2 linked regions of the Drosophila melanogaster genome follow. The protein of the gene in region 2 binds, or shares a complex with, the protein of the main gene of each other region. Each region holds a gene or a part of one and is shown on either strand. Other genes may lie near its edges.

Region 1 (5,771 bases), on a different chromosome or scaffold from region 2:
ATGGTCTGGAGAAACCCCACGGAAAGCTGACCTCCCTGGCTAGCATTTTCGAGATAGACTGGCAGCCGTAGAGTGTTTTAGTTAGCCGAAATTGTATTTACACACCCAACTAGATACAGACGAATCGAAGCCTAAAGTTATCGAAATTTACTGGGAGGGAACAGATTCATCTTAGGCCCGGCGGCACTTGGCCTCCACCAACTTTTGCAGCGTGCCCGTCAGGCTGTTGATGGCATCGATCTTCATGCGCTCAATCCGCTCCTGCTGCACCAGTGACATTTTTTGGATCTGCACCTGTTCGCGCTGCAAACTCCGTTGTAGCTCTATCTTCTCCCGCTCCACTTCCAGTTTTCTTTCAAAGTAGTCCTTCCACCAGATGTCATCGGGGATGCCAGAAGCTTGGTGCGAGCCCATGGGTCGTGCCAGATCGTAGAGCTTGCCATTAACTTCCAGATGTTGGCTGCTATCGTTTGTACGTTCAGCCTCCGCAACTTGATCGCCATCGTACTCCATCTTGGGTTGACGGACTACCTCCGACATGCTGTTGCTATCCTCATCGAACTCATCGTTGGACTTGCTGTCCAGATTCATCTGGGCCTGCAGCAGGACCTGATCCACAGGTGTAATATACGGCTGGCTGTCCTTGGCCGCAGTCTGGGGTGGAAGTTGCACCTGCATTTGGGGTGTTCCCGGCTTTAGGCTCACCGGAGTAGGTTGAAGCTGTAAAGGTTGCTGGGGAATACCCGGATTCGGGTTTTGCCCATTAGCCGAATGTGGAGCTTGTGGCGCATTTGAAGTCTGTTGTGGCAACTGCATATCAAAGTCAGCCTTCTTGCCCTGCAGATACTTGAACATCTCCTCGAAGAACTCCCAGTGCACATAGCCGGATACGTATTTTTTGTTCAGATTCTTGTTGTAGGTGATGAGGATGTTATGCCACTTCTTCTGCACCTTTGCGGCGGAGTAGCGAAATCCCAGTCGCTGTAGTTGCCGGGTGCAGTGCAGCCAAAGAGCAGTCCGTTTTTGTCTGTAAGGGAGTTACTTTTACAAAGATGTCTTTACGGTGGAATAAAAACCTTGCTCACCTGCCCTCTGTAAAGCTACCCTCCATGGGACCGCGTATGTGAATCAATGCCCTGGTGGCCTCTGTGGTCCAAGCACGCTCGTAAGGACCACGTCCCACATTATTGCCTGCCCCTGAGGTATCTGCCTCCTCGAGCAAGCAATCATCATCCAGGTCATCCAAATCATCGTCACTTATTTGATAGGCTATGGAAATAAAAGAAATAAGTTACCTTTAATTATTGTCCTTGTTTTGAATAATATAAAAGCTTACAGATTATAATAATTATATTTGATACCCCTTTATACACTACGAAATTAACTAACGAAATCGAGGTAGTTCTAGCCTTATCTGATTTAGCTTAAGTTCAAAAACTTGTTGCTTTTGGGCAGCAGTGGCATCTCTGGCGCTCTCGCAGCATCCTTTCAGACATTTCTCTCTCTTTGTTATCCTGCTCTCATGCTCGCTCTCCCGTTTAAGTTATCACCCAACGCCAGGCCAAAAAGCATCCTAGCTATGTCAAAGATGCTAGCTGCTGCTGACATACACCTTTATGATACATACATATATACCTACATATATCCTGATACATGACACACACTATGTGCGTAGGTATGCACATATGTCCTTCCACTAGGACTGTGCAGACCAACACTTGTGCACTTTCCGGGCAATCACTCAATTTTCTATTATGATTTCACAATTGCCAATCGGCAGACTTACGTTCATTATCCTCGACATTATTTCCGTTGCTAGGGGCTTGCCCATTTCCTGCGTTGAGCTGAACTTGAGCCATTGCGGCTATCAGACTTTTGAAGTCCAATCTGCCTTTTCTGCCAGAATATGAGCAATTTTAGACCTTTCGCCTGTCAATAGTTTTCTCGTACTAACAGGACAATTTTCGGGCTGCAGCTTCCAGGCGCCGTGAACGTGAACTTCGAGTGCGCCTACTCTCTCGCGCCTTCTCCGCTCCTCTCTCGCTCGCTCTTAGATCTGGAAAAGATGGGAGGCTGCGGCTAGCCGAGGAGTAGTGGTATTAGTTTCCAAGAAATGGGCCTCTAGAATGGCGTGGTTGGGTGGCTGGGCGGTGCAGTGGGCGCCGGAGTGCAGCATCTGCGCACTTTGCACTCTGACTTCGCAGGTCTGTTAGCCGCAGCCACAGCCTCACTGGAATGGCTTTATGTGATTGGAAAGTCTAACCTAAATAGTTCTAGTCCGGCTGGATTGGAAGGCTATTTATGAAATATTTGGGAAATATCAAGATCTGAATGCTAAATGCATGTGTCAAGTTATGATTGAAGGGCCACATGCGAACGTCTATATTTGAAACCTATAAAATAGGTTTCTAAACCTATTCGCGTGAAATATATACCAATTTAACTGTAATGCTACAATAATAGATAAATAATGGGGCGCACACGTGCTTTCCATGTATATTTTATTTGTATAAATCTATAAGCGATCATCAGATCTAAGATGTCATACCTTGATTTAAGTAAGATTTAGTAAGCTAAAGAAAATGTATAAAGTACTGTATCACAATTTTCTAACTGGCTTTTTAAAACAAGAACTATCGTTTTATCGATACACCTTCGGTGTTACCAGCTGATTGTCCCGGCATTTTATTGTGCTAGGTGGCAACTCCAACGCCGCGAATTTGCGCGTGGAACAGAATACATTTGTTATTAAATAATTTTTTATTGTAGTTGTTAAGAGACAGAGCCTAGACAATGCCTGCGGTGGAAAAGAGCGTGATGTGAGTATCGGCAGTGCGACAATATTGAATGACTAAATAAAATCCTTCGATTTGCCATGTAGCACCGATTGGAAGCGCCTGTGGCCGATGGTCTCAGGAATCCACTATGAGACGCCGCAGGATACTGTACGTGAGGAGCTGATGAACGTGGCTTCTGAATTGCAGGCTGGAGTGCTCCAATTTAAGCCCAAGAATGCCTCCAGCCTCGAGCTGGGCACGTTGCTCAAAGAGAAAAAGCAGGAAAAGCTGCTGCCCTTCACCGAACGACTGCAGGATCTGTTGGATCTAGAATCCGCCCAGTGCTGGGAAATCCTTTGCTACTACCTTACGCAGGAGTACCGTGGATCGGCGAGTCTCCTTACCCAACTAATCTCTACCGAAACGAATATGGCCAAACTGCACGAAGACATACGGCATTACTACTCCCTGGAACGCATGGTTGTCCTCAAGATTGTTAAGAATCTTATCGTCTTTCACCAGGTACCGAATCATCCCTATCACCGGGAGTATCGCGCCGTGGTCGAAAAGATAACCATCCCCCGCCTTAGAGATTCATACCTAGACCAACTGGAGAGCCTTATTTGCGAAGTCCCACCCAGAAAGCTAATGGCGGGAGAATGCTTCCACTCTGCGGAACGCTTAGTTGCCTGGTCGGAGCGAAATGCTCGTGAGATCAACGAGGTGCTGCACATCCTTCTGGTGCTAGCGGAACACCTGCCCATGGGGTTGGAGCAGATAAAGAGAATATTTGCCGCCTGCAAGCAACACTCCTTTGGAAAGATGCAAAGTTATCTGGATGACAGCCAACCTTACCATCAGGAGATTATTCGAAGCCTTTCTTACTCAGAGCTAATGTTAGTTTTAAAGTGCCTCGACTTTGAGAAGCCCGAGAAGCATTCCGATCTAATTGAAAAGCTTATAGAGGATCTGCAGGTTGATATTGCCAGCATGTACCACAGACCAGAGCATGGCCCTTTGCTCCTAGCGTGGATGCTGCTTCGCTTGCGAGGCACCAACGATGCCGACGATGCCTCCAGCTTGCTCCGCTGTCGGCAGCTGGGCAAGCGAGCCGTGGATCTTAAGTGTTTTGTCCAACTGCACCTAATTGCCAGACATTCTATGTACGCCGATGACTCTATGCTGTCACGGATTGTGCGAAGAACCATATACAACCAGGTTGGATATCTGTGCGACCTCTTCGACGGCGATGGCAGCTGCGCTCGGTATGAGGGCATTTACGAATTGCTCTGCGAACTTGTCTCATGGCCACACTTAGCTAAAGACTTTTGCAGTCGGGAAGGTCAGTATCATATAATCAAAAGAGCTTAACCGAAAAAATTAGTTTAGAACGAACAACTTTACATTTATCTAGATGATGGTCCGTGTTCGCTGTACAAAACTCTTTTAGAGAACTTCCCTCTAGAATTAACACATCTGTCCAAACTGGCACTGTCACTGACAAAAGCGGGACAAGGCAACTATGTAAGCCAATACTTGTACACTCAAAGGCATCAGTTAAAATTATTTTAACAATCTTGCAGGTCAAGAGCCAACTAGAGGCTTTGCCCATATTGGCTCTTCGTTACGACGAAAGTCAGCACAAACTCAGAGAAGTGGACACAAATGAATTCGAGCTCCTGGCCAGCGTGCAACCATTTCAGCAAATTGATTTTACCATACCCGCAGGAACTAGTTGCACAGCCATCCAACATCCGTCCGGCTGCTTTATGCACTTTCGTTTCCCGGTAAACTACTTTGACGCGCTGCACCACGAAATTAACTGCCTGCTACGCGAGACGGGTCACCTGCATGGTGACTTTGAATCGAGCGAACGCATACGCAATGTAGAAGCTGGTTTAAGATTTTTGGAAAGTGCCGTTAAGCTCAGTCAATCGATATCCGGCATCAGCGCCGAAATGGTGCATCCTACCGAGATGTGCGTTGATCTGCTGCACACGTTCAAAAGCGTTCAATACCCACCGGTTGGACTTTTGTCTAGCTGTCTCAATGTTTGCACTGCGCTGCTGCCGTTGGTAGACGAGGAAATCTTTTCGCGGATAAGCAACCTACACATCTTGCCAACAGTAAGCCCGGGATCTCACTACGACTTCAAGATGTATGCCAATGCCAATGGAGTGGGCTTTGAGTCGCGCTTTTTAGGCTCCGTCATTGATAATGTGGAGAAGAAAAGGGAGCGCTACGAATTCTTGCTTTCATACATTGGGTTCCTGCGAGCGTACTCCAACCTGAAACGGAATCGCCAAATCCAGATGGAGATTCCCGGCCTTATATTCCTGTTAAAGGATGTTTTCCCGCACTTGCACACCTGGCACTTTAGCTCTCAAGTGGAGAGAAACAAGATCTACTTCGAGATTCTTAGCTTTATATGCGACATCCTGGACTTGTTTAACACTGCTAAAGAATCTAATTGCAAGCAACGCGAACTTTTGGTAAAGGTGTGCGTCTATTCCCTTCTAAATTTGGAAAATGGTCTGATTCTTTTGAGGTAAGAGCTACCGTAACTCCAACCAAGAATAAATTTAAATAAAATGTATATTTTAGATTTGTTGGTGTGGGCAATGCTTATGTCCAGTACACCATGGAGCTAGAGACAAATTGGATGCAGCAGCAACCTCACGGCTTAATGATGTTAGTCCGTCTATCCATGCGTATCCTGATGCAGTTACTGCGCCTTAAAGAAGAGGTATATGGAAACAGTGAGACCCTTTCCCCGCTGGAGGCGTTGATATACACACAACCCAAACAGCGTGATACTCTGCGGATCATACCTACAGTATGCAGTTACATGAGCAACATATTTGATAGATGGCTACCGATTCTGTCTTGCCGCCTGCTGAAAAGAATCGCTCTCCAGTTCAATATGTCTCTCTTGGCCTGTCTGGACATGGAGGCTGATCAAATCCGATTGACGTTTATGCAGAAGTTGCCTGA
Region 2 (5,771 bases):
AAGTTTACAGCGCTCCAAAAGCTGGACAATACGCTGACGTCGCTCGGGCAAGTGCCAACCGGGTTCAAAGTGCTCCAAGCGATTGGTGTTTAGTGATGATTCGATGGGCAGTGGCTGCACAAAGACACGCAGCTCCTCGGGAAACTGGGGCCAGTCGCTTAAATCCTCGCCGGCTACCAATTGCAGGCGGTGCACTGCCTCGTTAAAAAGGTCCACACAACGCTGTGGATTCAGCTGAGTGTCGCTTCTAATGGCCGTATCGTGCTCAGCGGCGTATTTTAGGCGGCGAAATAGTTCCGATCCCAGATTAACGAGCAAATACTCGCGGGTCTCCACTTGGTGAAGATGTCCAACACGTTTCCTTTCCGTGGCTTTGGCCAAAAACTTTACAGCCGATTCCAGTGCAATCATTAAGCGCTGGCGGTTGTTTCCAGATTTTCGCAAACGAAAGATGTTAAATGAGCGCAGACATAGTTCCTGGAGAGGAATATCAGGTTGAACAAAGGCGGTATTAGCTGGATGCTGAACAATTACAGCCACATCATGACAGCGGCTTGCTTGCAGCAATGGTTTCAAGCGATCCGGCAGTAAACGAATGTCATCCAGCCCGATTAAGCAAATAATACCATTGGCTTCGGCCAGGTCGGTGGCTTTCCAGTCGTGGTCATCATCTCGGATCTTCATCACACTCAAGCCAATACCCTGAGAGAAGCCTCTGATGTAGCCTCCATCCACAAAACGAGCATCCGGCGACTGTGGCTGCTGCAGTAGTCCCCTATCCAAATCGCAGTTCAACTGGAGACCCTCCTGGCCGCCGGACAGGCTTATCAATAGCTTGTAGAAGCGTCTAGCTCCTGGTTGCGCTACCGGCAGACACTTGTCCAAAACGTGCCACAGATCCAGTTTCAGCCAACTATGCTCCTCCAGGCCAGCCAGAAGTTTGCCATAATCGCAGGGCTCGCCAAGTCGATAGCGTCTGCTTAGACGCAGTGAATCTTCCATGCTTCGTTTGTTCACCACTCCTTCGGGGTTTTCGGCTCCAAAACTTAAAGGCAGTTGGTTAAATAGCGTGTCCTTCTCCTGTTGCGTTCGCCGATATTTCCGCCATCGTCTGATGCACACCCTCATGACGCCTAGTTCGTAGATGGATTGCTCCATCTGCCGCTCGACGAGATCGCGTGTTATTGAGTCCAGCATGGATTCGTAGGAACGGCAAGCCCGACTATGCGACATAAACTCGCTTTGGCAAATCTCCGCGAGGGTGTCCTGGAATATTTCCTGATACAACTCCAAAGTCCTGGTCTGTTTGTGGGCCTCCCTTTCCTGCTGCTGCACAAAAAACAACTGTTCCAGTTTCAGTTGCCTCTCTTTTTCCAGCTGAAGTTTCTCCTGCTCCCGCTGGCGTTGTTCCTCCAGTTCCTGCTGCTGGCGACGCTGCTGCTCCTGGCGTTCCCTGAGTTTCTGCTGACGCACTCGCTCAGCCTCGGCCACTTTGGCCTCGTGAATAGCCATTAGCTCAGCTTCCCGCTTCTTTGCAGCGGCAATGGCTACTTGGAGGGCCTGATGCTTGGCCTCTTCTTGTGCCCGTCGCTGCTGTGTAGCCGGAGCTTGTTCCTGGAACTCCTGAGCACGTGATTTGGGAAGAACAAAACTGAATCCATCGATGGAGGAGGCTGGCGGAACAGCAGCCGCAGCAAATACTCCAAACCCTGCTGCCGTTCCGTCGGGTTGCATGGGCACCTTAAACAAAGTATCGCTATGTTTTGAGACTGCTGGTGGCTGCGAAGGCATTTGTGGCTGCATCTCCTCTTGCTGCATGCCAGCCAGCTGATCCTTGGCCGTCCATGCAATGCTCTTAAGCATTCCATAATCGTCGAAGCTATTGTGCGGTCGGTGATTGAGGTAGAGGTCTCGTGGTGGTAAAGGTTCCCCACTGACGACTTCGCCCACGCTCTTCACGCGTTTCACTTCCACCAACTGGAAGTGGATAATAAAAATCAAATTAATAAAACAAAAAAAAGAAAACCATTTACTTACCTCATACTGTCGCGGCAGCTTGTACTCCGTCTCCACCGTGTGCATTCTGCTTAGCACAACTCTGCCCGCCTCGTTGATCTGCAGGCCATAGTGTTGGACAAAATCCGCCGCCTCCTGTTCGCTGGCAAAGCTCAGCAGCTCGGCGATGTAGCTGAGAGGCAGCGAAGACACCTCATCCTTCCGCGGAGACCTATACGCCTGGATCAGACGATGCAACCCCAGCACGCGCAGTCGCGTAAAGTAATTGACTAGGATGCAGGCACTCAGGTAGCTGGTATCCTTGTCAGCCAGCAGCTGAAAGAACCGCACAAAATTCGTGTCCTGCAGGGCCAAGTAGAACTGAATGGCTTGACGCACTTCGGGACAACTCTGCAGTTCCGCGGGCAGCTGACCGATGTCCCAGAGAAAGTTGGCATCGGCCAGATTGAGCAACACAATGTAGCCCCGGAATTCCGCCTCTTTGGGACATGGAACGCCCTTAATCCGCAGGTCATGGTACATGTACTTCAGAGTCTGCAGGCATTTGGTTAGATTCTCGGCGTTGATCTTGCTGTCAAAGACGCTGGGATCGGCGTCAACCAGACGGGCGGCGCAATGAATGTGAAACCGGGCGCACTGCTCCACCAGCTTCACAGCGCCCAGAGAGCATAGCTCCTGCTGGGTGATCTCCTTTCGGATGGACCTCGTGCGATCCCAAACGAAGTGGAACCAATCGCCCATATGGCTTTGCGGATCCTGGCGCTCGCTAATGTCCATGATCTCATGCATTAGATAGCTCATGGTCATGTGCAGGGCAGTCTCATTGCGCAGTTCATGCGGCAGTGGCGTCTCCTGGTCGGCACTGCTGCGCGAGTACTGCTTCAGGGCTCTTTCGTGACAGATTAGCTCATCGGAGCCCGGTTGTAGTTCATAGTAGGCTACCTGGCGCTGGAATTCTCTCAGCACGCGCTCCTTTTCCGGACACATATCGGCGCAGTGACCCTGGGTGGCACCGGACAGCTTGTGTTGCGTTCGGTTCAACCGGAGCAGCTTATCGCGGGCATCCAGCACGCTGAACTTCTCCTCGCTTGTATGGGCGGGTCTGCGCATCATGTTCTCAAGATCCCTGAGCTGGGCAGGCGTACGATCTCTGCTCACCGGCGCCGTTGCGGGCCCAACTGGTATGGCAGGCAGCATTGAACTGCCACCGCTACCACTGCTGCCATTTTGTGGTTTTTTTATCGGCTTGCCCGACCCATACTCATTGCGCCAGCCCGACTGCAGTGCACTCAACTCCGCCTGAATGTCAGGATCCACCCACTCCTCCGTTTTCTGTGCCGGCGCCGTCTCGTTATCAGCATAGGATATATCAAACAGGTGACCCTGAAAGCTGGCGCCATCGAGAAGCGCCCGCGCCGCCTCGTCCTCGCTGGCATAGCTTACGGTGCAGGTCATTCGCCGCGGACGCAGGACGAAGTTTACGAGGGTTCCAAAACGTCCAAAGTGCGAACGCGCCACATATTTGTCCAAAAATAGCTCCGGAATGTTTCTGCATCTGGGGATTCGTATGGAACTATAGTTGACATCGCTCTGCCTTTGATGAACGAACTTTTACTCACAATAATGTCTTGTAGTTGTAGCCGCCGGGACGGGGTTCTGCCATCGATCGAATATAGTTTAAGGTTTTTAGTTTCTTTTTTAGCTGAATGAGAGCGAATGTGTGCTTTGTTGTTACAATATTGCCGTCAAGCGATTGCCGGTAATCGATAACGCAAATCTGAAAATGGCGCGAAAAAAATACCGCAATGGCTATCCCACCCACACAATATCGTTCAGGTTTAATTGAAAATTTTAATGTTTTACATTCGAGATGAATGTATTTGCCTAATAAATAAAATGTTAACAGGAGTTGGTAAACATATATTCTTAGGAAATTAGGAAATGCTTGGGGCGTTCCTTAAACTGTTGAATGAAATCGAACATCTTCTTATATTATCTTATATATATATGAATATATATATAGGTGTAGCAATCTTTTTAAGTTCTTTTTATTCTCTTTTAAGCTCTCGATTCAAACTCCTCGATCTTGATAACACTATCTGTCGTTCTTAGGACTATACAATTAATCCTATCGAAATTGGTTGTTCCTAGTATTTTATATTTATACATAGCTTACATAAGAAATATTTTCATCTTTACACTTTAATATTTTAAGACGATTAATTACCTCTTAATCAATATCTCTATTTAATAGGCTGACTTATATAAAGCAATGCAAATTCAATAAAACTTATTGCAGAATTAGATGGCATTTAGCCCAATCCCTGATTTTAAAATAAGCGGGAGATAACGAGCAGTAGTGTGACCGCCCAGTAAAGTATAACCAAATACCGCGAAGAAGCCAAGCTGCTGTTCCGATAGTATCGATGAGCCTGCCATCCCCAGAATTTTGGTCATTTGTTGTTGCTCGCCAGGGCGAATTCGAACTCGAAGCGCAGTAATCAACGCGCTGCTCGTGGATTTTTTTTGCATTTTTTTGAGTTCAAATAGTTCGTTAATAAGAGTGGCGGTCAACGATACTATTCCACTTGCAATCGAAATATGAATAGTTGAAAGTGATAAACAACAAGAAAGAAGCGACGCCAACGGGCGAAAAAGGAGATAACCGAAAACGAAAAACACGACAAAAGCAACGTTAAAAGAGAGTAACAGAAAAGATATAAAAACGATGATCGAACCGTAAATTTAAAACCATGCAATCTACAGCGCATAATATATAATAATTTGACCAAAACAAATGCCAAGTTTGCGAGCGAGAGCGAAGAACGTTAAAAAAAGAAGTAAATAAATGATCTTGGCCCGCTGTTTGTTGTTCTTGTTATTATGGTTGCCGTTGTTGTAACTCGTTTTTTTTAATGCGCGCGTGTATGAATCACACAAACACAACAAAACAAACAATAACAACGATGCCTTACGGTGAAATATGCTAAGTAAATAGCAAAAGAGAGTTCCAGTTTCCAGAGAGCGACAGAGAGGGAGAGCGCGCGAGAGCGACTACAAGTACATACTGGAAAGCGATCCCGATCCTTTTTCCAGGCACGCAGCCATCTCGCTCGCACCCATGCCGCCCTAGACCAACTTTTGTTGCAGCTGCCTAACAACCAACAATACAGCAACAACAAGCGCACTGTGCACGCGAAAGGAGCAACAAGGATGGCGATAGCTGGAAAGCGACGACGATGATGATGATGCGGTCGTAACAACAACAGCAACAAGAACAACAAAAAGCTGCTGCAGGCAGACGAGCATAGCGTTAAAAAAAAGTAGCTGCATACAAAATAGTAATAGGAAAAAATCCGAAAAATTCGAGAAAAAAATAAGTTAAAGAAACGATCGCCCAATTTAATCAAGTGCATATATGTGTGTGCAAAATAAAAAGTGCATTGCAGCAGTCAAAAATACATACTTATTATCGCAGATCGAAGACGATAATAGTTATTGTTAACACGAAAAGTACGAAATGAAGGTCACCGTCTGCTTCGGCGACGTTCGCATTCTGGTTCCCTGTGGTTCCGGCGAACTCCTCGTCCGCGATCTCGTCAAGGAGGCCACGCGACGCTACATCAAGGCGGCCGGCAAGGTAAGGGGATATACCTGATATATATGATATAGTATTATAAAGTATTACTTTACCCATCGATAGTAATTTTGATGGATAACACTTCTGGAGTTACGGGAGGTACTATGTAACTGAT

What was found. Proteins that work in one complex are often made in the same cells at the same time.
Region 1: xmas (region 2) and Nup188 share a complex: the UniProt entries of both Drosophila melanogaster proteins name them as parts of the nuclear pore complex.

Annotation. Positions count from the first base shown.
Region 1 is NT_033778.4:12,683,095-12,688,865, reverse strand, and holds the start of Nup188 (nucleoporin 188kDa), read left to right. Parts: upstream 1-2,686; 5' UTR 2,687-2,793; coding exon 2,794-2,819; intron 2,820-2,881; coding exon 2,882-4,119; intron 4,120-4,191; coding exon 4,192-4,301; intron 4,302-4,360; coding exon 4,361-5,325; intron 5,326-5,381; coding exon 5,382-5,771. Other genes in the region: CG30053 (uncharacterized protein), read left to right, coding at 1-71; CG13148 (uncharacterized protein), read right to left, coding at 172-1,027, 1,086-1,269, 1,787-1,859. UniProt on the Drosophila melanogaster protein: Component of the nuclear pore complex (NPC), a complex required for the trafficking across the nuclear envelope. Required for proper protein transport into the nucleus.
Region 2 is NC_004354.4:17,155,536-17,161,306, forward strand, and holds the start of xmas (xmas), read right to left. Parts: upstream 3,772-5,771; 5' UTR 3,680-3,771; coding exon 3,636-3,679; intron 3,572-3,635; coding exon 2,038-3,571; intron 1,978-2,037; coding exon 1-1,977. UniProt on the Drosophila melanogaster protein: Involved in mRNA export and mRNA coupled transcription activation.